Linked DNA regions of Arabidopsis thaliana. The protein of the gene in region 2 interacts with the protein of the main gene of each other region in a pairwise test. Each region holds a gene or a part of one and is shown on either strand. Other genes may lie near its edges. The genes, in order: TGA10 and MYBC1.

Region 1 (7,999 bases), on a different chromosome or scaffold from region 2:
TTTCAATACTCTCTCATGTTCTTGTGTTTGGAATTGAAGATCAAGTATAATTTTTCACTTGAATTTGCATAAGGAAGAATTCATTAAAAGGTATGGAATACTTGTCTATATATATAATCTGCATCTTGATTAAAAACATAATAGTAAGAATCATATAACAAAAAGAAGCCAAACAATTTTCCCTAATTGCACTGTATTTGAGTAGAGAGACGATATATATGATAAAGAGGTCAAGCTGGCGGCTAACTAATCAACCTATTCTCTTGTTTTTGTTTTTGGTTTCCTTCATCAGTTGTTTTAGTATTATCCATCTTGCCGAGGACGGGCTAGCCAGAGAGAACTTAGAGCTTGAAGACGGTGGAAGTACTCCGCAACGGCTAGAAGACACCGTGCTTCTTGACGGGTCGTCAACAATTGGTTCAGCCTATGGATCGTTTGGTGCCTCAAATTATCCGCCTGTAAGTTTCTAATGTATTAGCTAGTTCAAAACTAAATAAGAGTTATAGGGAAAATGGAGAAATAGTAAAAGCAAAACAAAAGATGGACAAAGTAGTGCACATGTTATTGACTAAGACCAATTAAGGACAAATAATCGAATTGGACCATCATTAATCTCATAAATATAAGTATTAAAGACTAACTAGAGAGGAAAAAAACAGATAAAGGACTAATTAAGCATTATAATGATTGTGCATGACCCGAAATTATGTGGTTGATTGACGACTAATGCCGATTATTCAACATGTTGATCGATCAAAAAATCAAAGCTTGTTAGTAATTCACTAATAAGAACACGACACCAACATGTCAAAAAGGTGAAACCGTGAATTCCATACCCTCGGTCCCACGCCATGCTTCATGATACTTTTGATCATTAATTAGAATCATACATATATAATCAACCTATTATCAATGATATAAAAGTAGACAAAAAAATGCAGAATCAAATGTAAGTAAAGGAATTATTCTCAAGGAAGTGTTTTCGGAGGATGGGATACTTGGGCAGTTACGTCCATGACATCATGCAACGATATGGGCTCCAAGCATTCCATGTTTTTATTTGATGTGATATATTATAGATACATAATATATGTATTTTTCTTTTGGACTACATATATTGGAATATGTATACTTAATACATACTTTCATGGTGCCAATTGTCACGTGCGTTTAGAGAAAATTGAATTCATTACCCCTTTTTAGTAACTAACCCCACATTTACCACCTATTTTAAAGTTGGATCTTTCTCCAAATTGTGAGCGACTAACCGTGTAGCGAAACACAAAAACTTTTTTTATAGGCGGAACAGGAACAATTTAGAACTAATTATATTAAGAAATCATTGAAAGATGCCAACTTGTATATGCATGTATCTTGTATAGAATTAATTAGCCGAAATGTCCATTTGCATATAGAGTATAGACTTATACATTAATATACACAAGCAGATATATATATTTCTTTGTTTCAAAAACTTGCCTGTCCTAAACTAGTAAATGATTAAGAAATAAATATTAAATTAATAAACTTGGTCGTCTAAGAAAAGCAACCCGACCAAGTTGATATAAGACAAGAGAAGTGTTTGTTAGATACCTACTTGCATAATGTCCGAATCAAGAGGCAAATACTTTCCATTTCATATACATATACATGTTAATGCATAATTATTAAGTTTGCGAATTAGTTTTGACATCTTCTTTAAAATCAACCACTTTTATTCTATATACACTTAATATATTACAAATGTCCTCTAACAAATTATGGCCGACGTTATACCTATATATGAGTTGTACACAAAACAGACACACACATATATACAAACATCTATATAAATTTAGATAGCGTGTTATAACAGCCAAATATAGAAATATATAAGTATATGATAGTTGAGTTTAATAAGGAGTAGTTCAAAGAAACAGAATATGTATTCCTAGTCTGATTAGGACCACATATATCCTCTAGGGGTCCACTTGTATATCAACTCTATAGGTATATTTTTATATAAAGATAAAAGATTGGTATATTGATATATAATTGCACATAAACTTAAAAAGAAAGAGTTATAAGGGTACCTGGAGAACGAAGCCCTCGAGAGCAGAGAGCTTGTTGAGAGCTAAGGACATGTGTGACATGAAATTGGATAGATGAGGAGGAAGTGGTGCGGAGGCAGGCGGGAGGGAGTCAGAGACAATGCTATCGGAAAGTGATTGATTCAACGCCTCGAGGCCTTGCGAGAGAGCCTCCTCGGCCTCTTGTGTGGACTGTTGCAGCCCACATATCCCAACTATCTGTTGCTCCGTCAATGGTTCTATCTGGTTCACAATCACCTGCATGCATGCGTTTCTAATTAATACACACAAGTTGAGATATCGAGGATTAATTAACAATGGTCTTAATGGATGCATAAAGAACGTTGAATGCATTAAAGTGTGTAGTGTATGTACTCTGCACGAGTTACTAGCTACACCCAAAATCTCTTCTTTCCTTTTTATTTTCACTAAAAAGGATATAAGATTGAGACATTGCCAAAGGTCTTGTCAGATATGCACACCATCCATATATTAATTTGTATTATTAATCGGCTATCGTAGGTACTCATATTGTTTAGAATAAAAAGTAGGTTTAATTAAAATGGCTTTACGTAACCATTTTAGAAAAGAAAAAAAATGATAATCATCCAATTGACGAGCGTGCTAAAAATGTTAAACAATTATTTATTTTTGGTTTGTTTATTATGGTCGTCTCTGTTGAATTCCATGGTGGTTTATGTCTATCTCTCTCTCCTATGGATCCCATAAATCGAAAAAACAGACAGGCACTTTCTTTTGCATTATGCCAAAACCTACCTATTTCTAGAGATACTTCACCATCACACACAATTGCATGCATTCTTAATTTGTTTTCAAAATAATTTTACGTGTACCTTTATTATTGTCGTAATATAAAGACATTCACGTATATATGTTGGTTTTATACATCTAGAGTCACCCCATGCAATGTTATGTATATATATACCTCGTCCAACAATATCACTATATAGTCTATCTCTTGTCTGTCTTATCTATTATTACTATATCGTACCTCTTTTACGAGAATCAAAGACTAAATTAAAAAAAAAAATCTAAATAATAAAATAAAGTTGGAAGTACTATATTCTGTGGACATATATGTACGATATAAATAATAACAATGTCACAATTTCAGTCATTATTAGTATATGTTCTGCAAGTAATCCACAAAATTGATGGTATTAATGATTGTATCCTGGAATATTTTAGGTTCTAAGATAAAATTTAAAATGATTAGTCTTCAAGTAAAATTCCAAAATTTAGATTTATTAATCCATATTTGATTAGTTTACAATATCATCATGACTAATTATTGTGTGGGATGTGGCTCGAATAGAATAAGTAAATATCTCTCGAAAAACCTAAATATATGTATATGGCTATAAGAAAAGACGAGATGTACCTTAATGATCTCCGATGGACGGAAACCACCCATCCACAAGAAGCAACGTTCAGCTGGAGTTTTCCATGCTCCAGAAATGAGGTGGAAGACATCGGTCTTAGCGACCATAGCCTTGAGGTTAATCAAATGGTCATAATGAGCTAAACATGTGTCCACAAACATCCTAAGCTCGTTCTCGGACAAGTGTTCTTGTGTTGCCACCCTTAGTTCGTTTAATAGCCTCTGCTGCTCCTCCAGCCACCTCGCATATTCCATATCGAACACCGCTGCTTCTGCTTCACATTGCATTTACTCAATATCTCATTCTCTCGGTTTTCAAATTTTACGGTTTTTGAGTCATCACATTTATGAAACTATTAACGTACCAGAGCTGATGTTGCCAGGGCCAATGGGTAGTCCACCTTGCTGTTGATCTCCTCCTATAAGAGACCCTCCAAAGAATACGCCCTAAACATATATAGGAAATCAAATTAAATTGGTACATTTTAGACTTTAGGTTAAATACAATATATATGAAAAGACAGGTTCAAATATTTACTTGGGATCTGGCCCGTTGAATCTCTTGTTCTAGTTGGGTCAGTTTGATCCTACATGACTCGAGTTGCTGAACATAAGCCTGTCGTAATTTACCAAAGCAAATAACGTTATAAATAAATTTGGATATAAAAACTATATTTGCAACTTACAAATATTGAATGCTGACCTTTTTACGTAATCTGCTTTTTCTTGCTGCTTCTCTGTTTTGTGCTAGTCTTCTCAATGTCTGTTGAGAATTAAATTAATAAAGAAACTATCAAAAACCGAAAAGTAAAAAAAAAAAAAAAAAAAAGAATCTTATTAATTTTCTGCAGTTGTATGAATATACACTCACTTTAGGGTCTGACGATTTAGGTATGTCATGGTCCGATGAGGCAAGACCCTTGCGGTTCCCTTCCTTCTGCCATAACATTTAGATATGACCCATTAACTTCTAAAAACAACCACAACAAGTCTATATCTATACTCGAGTTATAGTTCGACAAAGCAATTAAATGATTAAAAAAACATAAATGGATAGAGACCTTGATGGATTTAGAACCTTGAGGAGGTTGATGAAACTGAGAATGATTGGTCAAGTCCATGGACGGGTCAGAAGCTGGTCGAGTGGAACCACTAGGTTGAGCAGCCGGAACTAATCTTGTATTATCGGTCTTACCAAACACATTATATAAAACAACCAAAAAACAATCAAATCACTACTCAATAGAAAAATAAGAAACGTATAATAATTGGTCTGACTTGATATTATATGAAATGGCTAGTAGTTGCGCTGACATTATATTAAATTAGAAACAGAAACCAACTAAAATTGGCATATATATATAGAAATTTATAAAGTAATAGTAATAATTATTACATTGTGTGTAGAAGAAGGAGGTGGCTCTATGTGCATAGGCTGAGATGGAAAGATGTTGAGCGTCGATGTTGGAGGTCTCATCGCCAAATTCTCTGCCATAAGATGAGTCATGTGACCATATGTATGAGAAATGGTCTAGTTATAACAAGTCATGTATATAAATATGTGAGCGGACTAGTTCTTCTAATTAGAAGAAAAAGGACAGAGAGAGAAAAGGGTTTAAAGAAGTGTAAGATATATGGATTTGAAAGATTTGGTGTCTGAAAAGAGAGAGGATCTGGTCAAAGCTGAAAGAATAGAGTACTGATGGCAGAAGAAAGATTGAAATCTGTTTGGCATGCTTTTGCTGTGACTCTCTCTCTCTCTCACACACCTAAAGGGAATCTTCCTTATCTGCTGAAACCAAAAAAACAAACCCCAATTCCCAAAAAAGAAAGAAAAGAGAGAGAGAGAGAGTGCATACGAGTTGTGTGATGATGATGTAAAGGAGAAGGAGCAGTTGATGGAGGATCATGATGTCCTTGTCCATCAAGATAGAGGAAGAGTGATGGGTCTATCTCTCCAATATCATACCCATCTTTGTTCCTGCACACATAAATTAAAGCTCTCTTATTAAAAACATGGGGATCATCAATCAATTCAAAAAGTTATTAAGTGAGTAAAAATTACATGAAGTTTCCATGGGAAGACGTGGCGGAGGATGATGATAAGTGTTGATGATGATTCTGGTGATGACCTTGCATTTGATGATGATGAAGAGAAGTCTATATATAGGATGATGTTTGAGAGAGCGTGTGATATGATAGTAACAGCAGAAGATGATGAAGAGAGATAGATTTTGATCTTCGATCTCTCTTATGTTGGTCTTCTCCTCTGAGGCAAGCTGATGATATATGATGATGATGACGGTGCTTTGATCACTAGCTAGAGAGATGATGATATACCTTCTTTTAATTCTTGTATATTATTTTCCTTTCTCTATATTCTTGGAAAGAGATAGAGATTATGTAACGGAGCATTTAAAGCTCCTTTGGTGTTTTTTTCAGAAGAGAGAAGAGAGGTCGGTTATATTGAAGTGGAGAGGGTTCAAAAACTTAAGAAGGATATTGGAGAGAAAAATAGAGATTGGAGAGAAGAACCTAAAGACAAACTCCTTTTTATTTTCTGATATTTTTGTTGTATAAGTTTCTTCTACCTTAAAATATTAGAAGACGACTTTGTTTTTATTTTTGTATGAAACCAAGAAAAATATTCTGATAAAGCGGTCAAGAACATGTCCTTTTCCATCCCCTCTCTCTTCTTCTTCCTTCTCTCTAGTCACATTGCTGATAACAAACTTGTATAAATATTTTTTGTTTGTTCTCTAAATTATTATTATTATATTTCTCCTATATATATTATTCAGCTATTAGATTTTTACTTTAAGATATACTTTTCAATTCCATCATCTATATTATTATTATAAGATTTTTTATTCGATTTTTAATGATCCATTAACCGCTCTTACATTCAATCTATAAACACTAGACATTATATGAAACAAGTTAAAAGTCATTATTATGTGATTTATGAACTTAGATTGTCAAATATATTGATTGAATTTTGTTTGTATCTCTAACTGTTCCATTGTACTTTGTTTGAATGGGCACTAATATGGTCTAGGTTTTGTTTTTGTTAAGCTAATTGGTTTGATCAAATTGAGCTGGTAAACTAATTTTGATTTCTTTCCCATCATTCACAAAATATTCATACAAATAATTTCCTCAAAATAGTTTTAACTTGTAAAGAAAAAAAAGTTTAAAATCTGTAGACTAATCCGTAAAGGTAAAACCGACGTTACTAGATAGACCAGTTTATGTTAACCGCGGTAATGGACCATCCAACCAACCCATATAAAACCAATAAACAATTTAATCTGCCGCGGACCGGAGTAAATTGGTTCGGTTAGTTCAATAACCGGATTCGAGATATTTGATGAGACCAATGAAATTATGCGTTCTTCTGTAGCAAACTCTTGAGACTCCAAAACGTTAAACTGTGTGAGACTTCGGAGATAAAATTTCCCAGAAAGCGTGAAAGGTTAACCGGAAGAAAATGCCGTCACAAGATGATGTTCAAAATCTTCCAATCGATATCACCTTCTCTCGTCTCGGAGGTAATGCAGAACTATCAATTACGAGTACACGGAATTTTAAATTTTTATATCTCTTTGGTTTTTTTTTTTCGTTTTCTTCGTTGGATTCGAATCTGCGTTGGTGATTATTGTCTTCATTTGATTTCAATTTTGTTGAATTTGAAGAATGGTTGGTGGATCGGAAGAGAATTCCGGCGGATTGGAGGAAGAGGGTTGCTGTGATCAGAGTCAAAATCTTAAAAGAGTTCTCTTCTTTGCCTAAAGAGATCGATCCATTCTTTCAAACCCTAGATCCTGAAGGTTTTAAATTCTTCAAATTTTGTTCTTTTATCAGTTTGGCGAATTTTCAAACCTTCAAAACGAATTCGTCTTAAATTGCGTTTTGGTTCACTGCTCTCATTTATAACTTAAAGTGTTAGTATTTTGTTTGAAAATGCCAAAGAGATTTTATTGGCATCTTTGTGAACACCGTAAGCTTGTTTGTTGTTTGGTTATGTCTGATGATTGATTAGGAGGAGGGCCTTACTTGGTTGTATTCTCATTCAAGTTTAATGTTGTTTTGCTTCCAGTGATCGGTTACTTGGAGGTCAAAAAGGTGTATGAGATTCTCCTGAAGACAACTCCGGAAAGCCGCAACATCTTTGGTCGACTTTCGGGTGCTTCTGTAAGGAAAACTGTCTCTCTGTTTCGCACTTTTGTTTGTGTTCATTGTCTCAGCTGTATAATGCTCTTTTAGGGTGTTTGGGAAGCAATTGTTCGTGCGTTTGAAAAAGATCACATTTATCTTGGGGAGGCAGCTCAGATAATAATTCAGAATGTTAATTACGAAATGTAAGTTGGCTTCTACTTGATTTTACCTATAGTCTCTCTACTTTGGCATTTCTGATCTCCCTAATATGTTTTCTTTTTGCAAAACATGAAGCCCTTATCTGAAAAAGCAAGTGCAAAAGGTTCAGCAACAAATGACAGAACTTGATCGTAAAGAAGCTGATATCAAA
Region 2 (3,804 bases):
AATTTGGTGCAAAAGAAATCAGGGGGACAGTTCTTGTCTGCTTTCACTTATTGTCTTCGTGACTTCGGAAGAAGATTCCTTATCTCAATTTTCTTATTTTCTAAAGTATACGAGATGGTGCTGAGGGGTTGGCCACTAGACAATTTTAGTCTATTTAAATTTGGCCTTCTTTCTAAAATTTTAATGTTATGAATGGAAAAATATTTAGGTTAGAAAACCAAGTTGTTTTAAAAGAAAAATTAGGTCAATTTACCAAGTCGACAAGTTGCTAGTTCGCTTATTGAAAAGTGACTCTCCGATGATCAGCCGACCATTCGACCATTTAGGATTTTGGGTTCTAGATTTACTTTCACTCAAAAATAATGTATAAAATATGCTCTATCCATAACACTAAAACCAATAAAAATAAAACTTTATGCTCTATTCATTTGGCATATATAAAGTTTTTGAGAAATTGATTTAAGTAAAAATAAAAATAATGTTTTGAGAAATTCTAATCAAATATGGTGTGCGAGTTCCTAGATAAAATTGGAACGTTGTTTTTCACATAGAACGGATAGTTTCTTTAACAAAAATCATTTTAATTAAACAAAGACAATTTGACCTTTTTTATTGCGAATGGATCATTGTAGTTAAAGAAATCAATTTGACATTTTAGCTATCAGATTTAGCTTCCTTATTCACATCACACGCCGAACCTAAATTTGGAATATTAATCATTTCACAACACTCTACTACTTGTACATAGTTCATACCTAAAAAGGTCTCTGATTTATATGTTATGGCAGCACAAGTCCCACTCTCTGCCCATACCTTTGTATTATAATATCTGTATATGATAGTTCATTTATACAATTAAATTTTCATGCATCTCGAAATTTTACTGTAAGTTATTTTGCACAATTTATGAAAAACCAATACTACAAAATACCTAAAACAAAATGTGTTTAATTTATTTTGAAGCTTGTGATATCTAAAATAAGTAACAATATGGATATTACAAAAAATAAAATAAAAATTATTATAGTTCATACTAGTAAGAAAAAAAGAAAAATGGAAAAAAGTACTAACACGCATGGTTTACGGACAACTAACCCACTAAATGAAGTTAATTTAAAATCATTTAAAAAGTTGCCTAACCTAATCCATGTCTGCGCGTGGAATCTCATGCGTACTTCAGACCAATTGTACGACAGGGTGCTGTTTCCAATTACTCCACCCGCAAAATGAACGCGTGAAAAACCACGCGCCACGTGGAAAACCAAGAATCTTTCTGATGGTTCGGACCATAACTCCGAAACACATAAGACAATGACAGATCCAAACAAACAAAAAGTAAAACCAATCCCCTTCAATTATCAACTTTAACTGTTTTTGTCGTCTTCCTTTTTCTTTCTTATCACACTTTCAGCTTGAGATATCCTTAATTAATAATCATCTCTCTTTAAACTTAGAGAAATATTCGGGATTTATGGTTTTCGTCTTAATGAGGACACAATGATTATTATTTTAATGTAAGATTGAGATTTCTTCTTTCTGTCATAACTCATAAGGTTCTCTGCCTTCGGTGTAATCTAATCATATACTTTTTATTCAAATGATGTCGGCTCAACTATTGGCGCATTCTTATGCGATCAATTCTTATGTTACTAATTTATTGATCAAAATTGATACTCACACACTATCGATTATTGTTTTCTACCTAAGAATTATTGCAATTTAGTCACTACAAATAAATTAAAAAAACTAGAGGCAAACAATTCGCATGGAAAACAAAAACTGGCAATTTGGATGCCATGAACCGAACCGTGAATGACAATGACAGTTCATATGCTCACATTATTACTATTTTCTTACTACTTTTGAGTTATGATTTCTCAATTATCCTCTTTGTATTTTTAATAAAGACTCAACAATTTATTCCGTGTTCCATAACCCCATGAACACATTATTCGAGAGAAATGGAATCAGCCAATCACTCTCTTTCCTCCATATATAAAATCTAGCCAATATTCACAAATAATAACTACTTCCTTCGTTCTTTTCCTTACCAAAAGATCCACCTCGAACCTCTCTCCTCCGTCTTCCTCCGCAGCCGCCGTCACTATCACCGCAGCTAGAATGAGAGAAGATAATCCAAATTGGTTCCTTAGATGGGAAGAAGAGCTTCCATCTCCAGAAGAACTCATCCCTATCTCTCAAACCTTAATCACTCCTCATCTAGCTCTCGCTTTCCAAATCGGAAGTCCTAATCATCATCTCGGATCAAAGAGAACCACCGCGATTTATCACCAGAAGCTTCAATCCTCCACCACTCCAACAACTCCAACTCCAACTCCTCCACCGATGATGATGAATTCTGATTTCGGCGGTGGCGATTCCACGGATCTTGGTTCAGGATCAATAGGAGGAGAGCCAGCAAGAACGTTGAAACGGCCGCGTCTAGTGTGGACGCCTCAGCTACACAAACGTTTCGTGGATGCGGTTGGACACTTAGGGATCAAAAACGCAGTTCCAAAGACTATAATGCAGCTTATGAGCGTTGAAGGATTGACTAGAGAGAACGTTGCGAGTCATCTTCAGAAATATCGTCTTTACCTTAGGAGAATGCAAGGCGGGAACGGTAACGGAATCACTGGAGGACACGTCATCGTCTCTGATTCGGCTACTGATCGGCTATTTGCTAGCTCACCGGTTCCAGCTCATTTCTTGAGCCCGGATTACTTGATGCCGCCATTAGAGCATTCGTATATGGGGAAACATGTGATTACGCAGCAAAACCAAGTGGTTCGTAATCTGAGGTATGAAGATTCGGAATATGGTCATGGTAGTATGAAGATGCTTAAGCTCTTCCCTGCCGGAAATTAATGAAATATTTGAATTCTTAACTTCATTTTTATGGAAGTAATAATGTTTAAGGTATGTGGATTATCTCTGTAATTTGCATTTGTCGTCAGGATCAATAATCTATTGTTAGTGTATATTATTTGTTACGCGAACAATTTAACCTTTGTATGATGTTATCATTTGAATTCACTACAACACAGTAGCTTGTTTTTATTTCTTTCGTCTATTCATTAGTTTCCCTGGACAAGTTTGATTATCATTTGTTGCGCCTAATTTGAAGTCACGTCAAAGCTGAAGCATAAATAGTAGTAAACAAAAAGACAAGGCAATGACACTAATCAAAAGGTTAAGTTTGTCTATTTTTGACATCAAACTGTCTCAAAATCTGGATTACACAAATCCTTAGCCATGATGAGAAAAGTAATTACCGGTTCTGCATGTAATCGAAACTAAGGGGCTGCGGATAGAACTGCGCCTGCAGAGACAACAATCACTTTTAAAACTTGATATTCACTAATTCAGATGTGATATAAAATCCACATTCACTCTTAAGTGTGACATTGTGATCTAGGAAGGTCGACAACCAACATTTACACAATTAACAAAAAGGCTAAAGAAAAGAGAGGAAAAAGGGAAAAAATTTGTTTACCTGAAAAGGGGAGTTTCTGAAGTGGTCATATGAATGAGTATACATCACAGCTGCTGCATTTGGCCATTGCATGTACATAGCAGCATCTCTTGAAGGCTGGTTTAAACCTGTGGTGACGCAGGGGCTCATGACAGAATGTTGACCCAAGTTAAGAGATGGAGGAGCAGTTGGACTATACCCTCTAAATCCCATATCATAGATTGGTGTCCCCATTGTCTGAATGTTGAAGTGTGCCACGCATAAATTTTGATCGACTGGGAGGTTACTAATGTACCTGAAAGCCAAAAGGTTTTTAAAGATACAGAACA

Evidence for each region.
Region 1: the proteins of MYBC1 (region 2) and TGA10 interact in a two-hybrid assay, tested with the Arabidopsis thaliana proteins (one large-scale study listed by BioGRID).

The regions. Positions count from the first base shown.
Region 1 is NC_003076.8:2,118,522-2,126,520, reverse strand, and holds TGA10 (bZIP transcription factor family protein), read right to left. Parts: upstream 6,050-7,999; 5' UTR 5,611-6,049; coding exon 5,537-5,610; intron 5,453-5,536; coding exon 5,331-5,452; intron 4,960-5,330; coding exon 4,868-4,959; intron 4,662-4,867; coding exon 4,533-4,661; intron 4,409-4,532; coding exon 4,343-4,408; intron 4,235-4,342; coding exon 4,175-4,234; intron 4,088-4,174; coding exon 4,010-4,087; intron 3,919-4,009; coding exon 3,837-3,918; intron 3,747-3,836; coding exon of another isoform or gene 3,744-3,746; coding exon 3,472-3,743; intron 2,328-3,471; coding exon 2,073-2,327; intron 457-2,072; coding exon 304-456; 3' UTR 64-303; downstream 1-63. Other genes in the region: AT5G06830 (uncharacterized protein), read left to right, coding at 6,962-7,022, 7,167-7,301, 7,571-7,665, 7,738-7,832, 7,924-7,999. UniProt on the Arabidopsis thaliana protein: Together with TGA9, basic leucine-zipper transcription factor required for anther development, probably via the activation of SPL expression in anthers and via the regulation of genes with functions in early and middle tapetal development.
Region 2 is NC_003071.7:17,096,836-17,100,639, reverse strand, and holds MYBC1 (Homeodomain-like superfamily protein), read left to right. Parts: upstream 1-1,908; 5' UTR 1,909-2,121; coding exon 2,122-2,868; 3' UTR 2,869-3,090; downstream 3,091-3,804. Other genes in the region: AT2G40960 (Single-stranded nucleic acid binding R3H protein), read right to left, coding at 3,272-3,322, 3,497-3,770. UniProt on the Arabidopsis thaliana protein: Probable transcription factor that acts as a negative regulator of freezing tolerance via a CBF-independent pathway.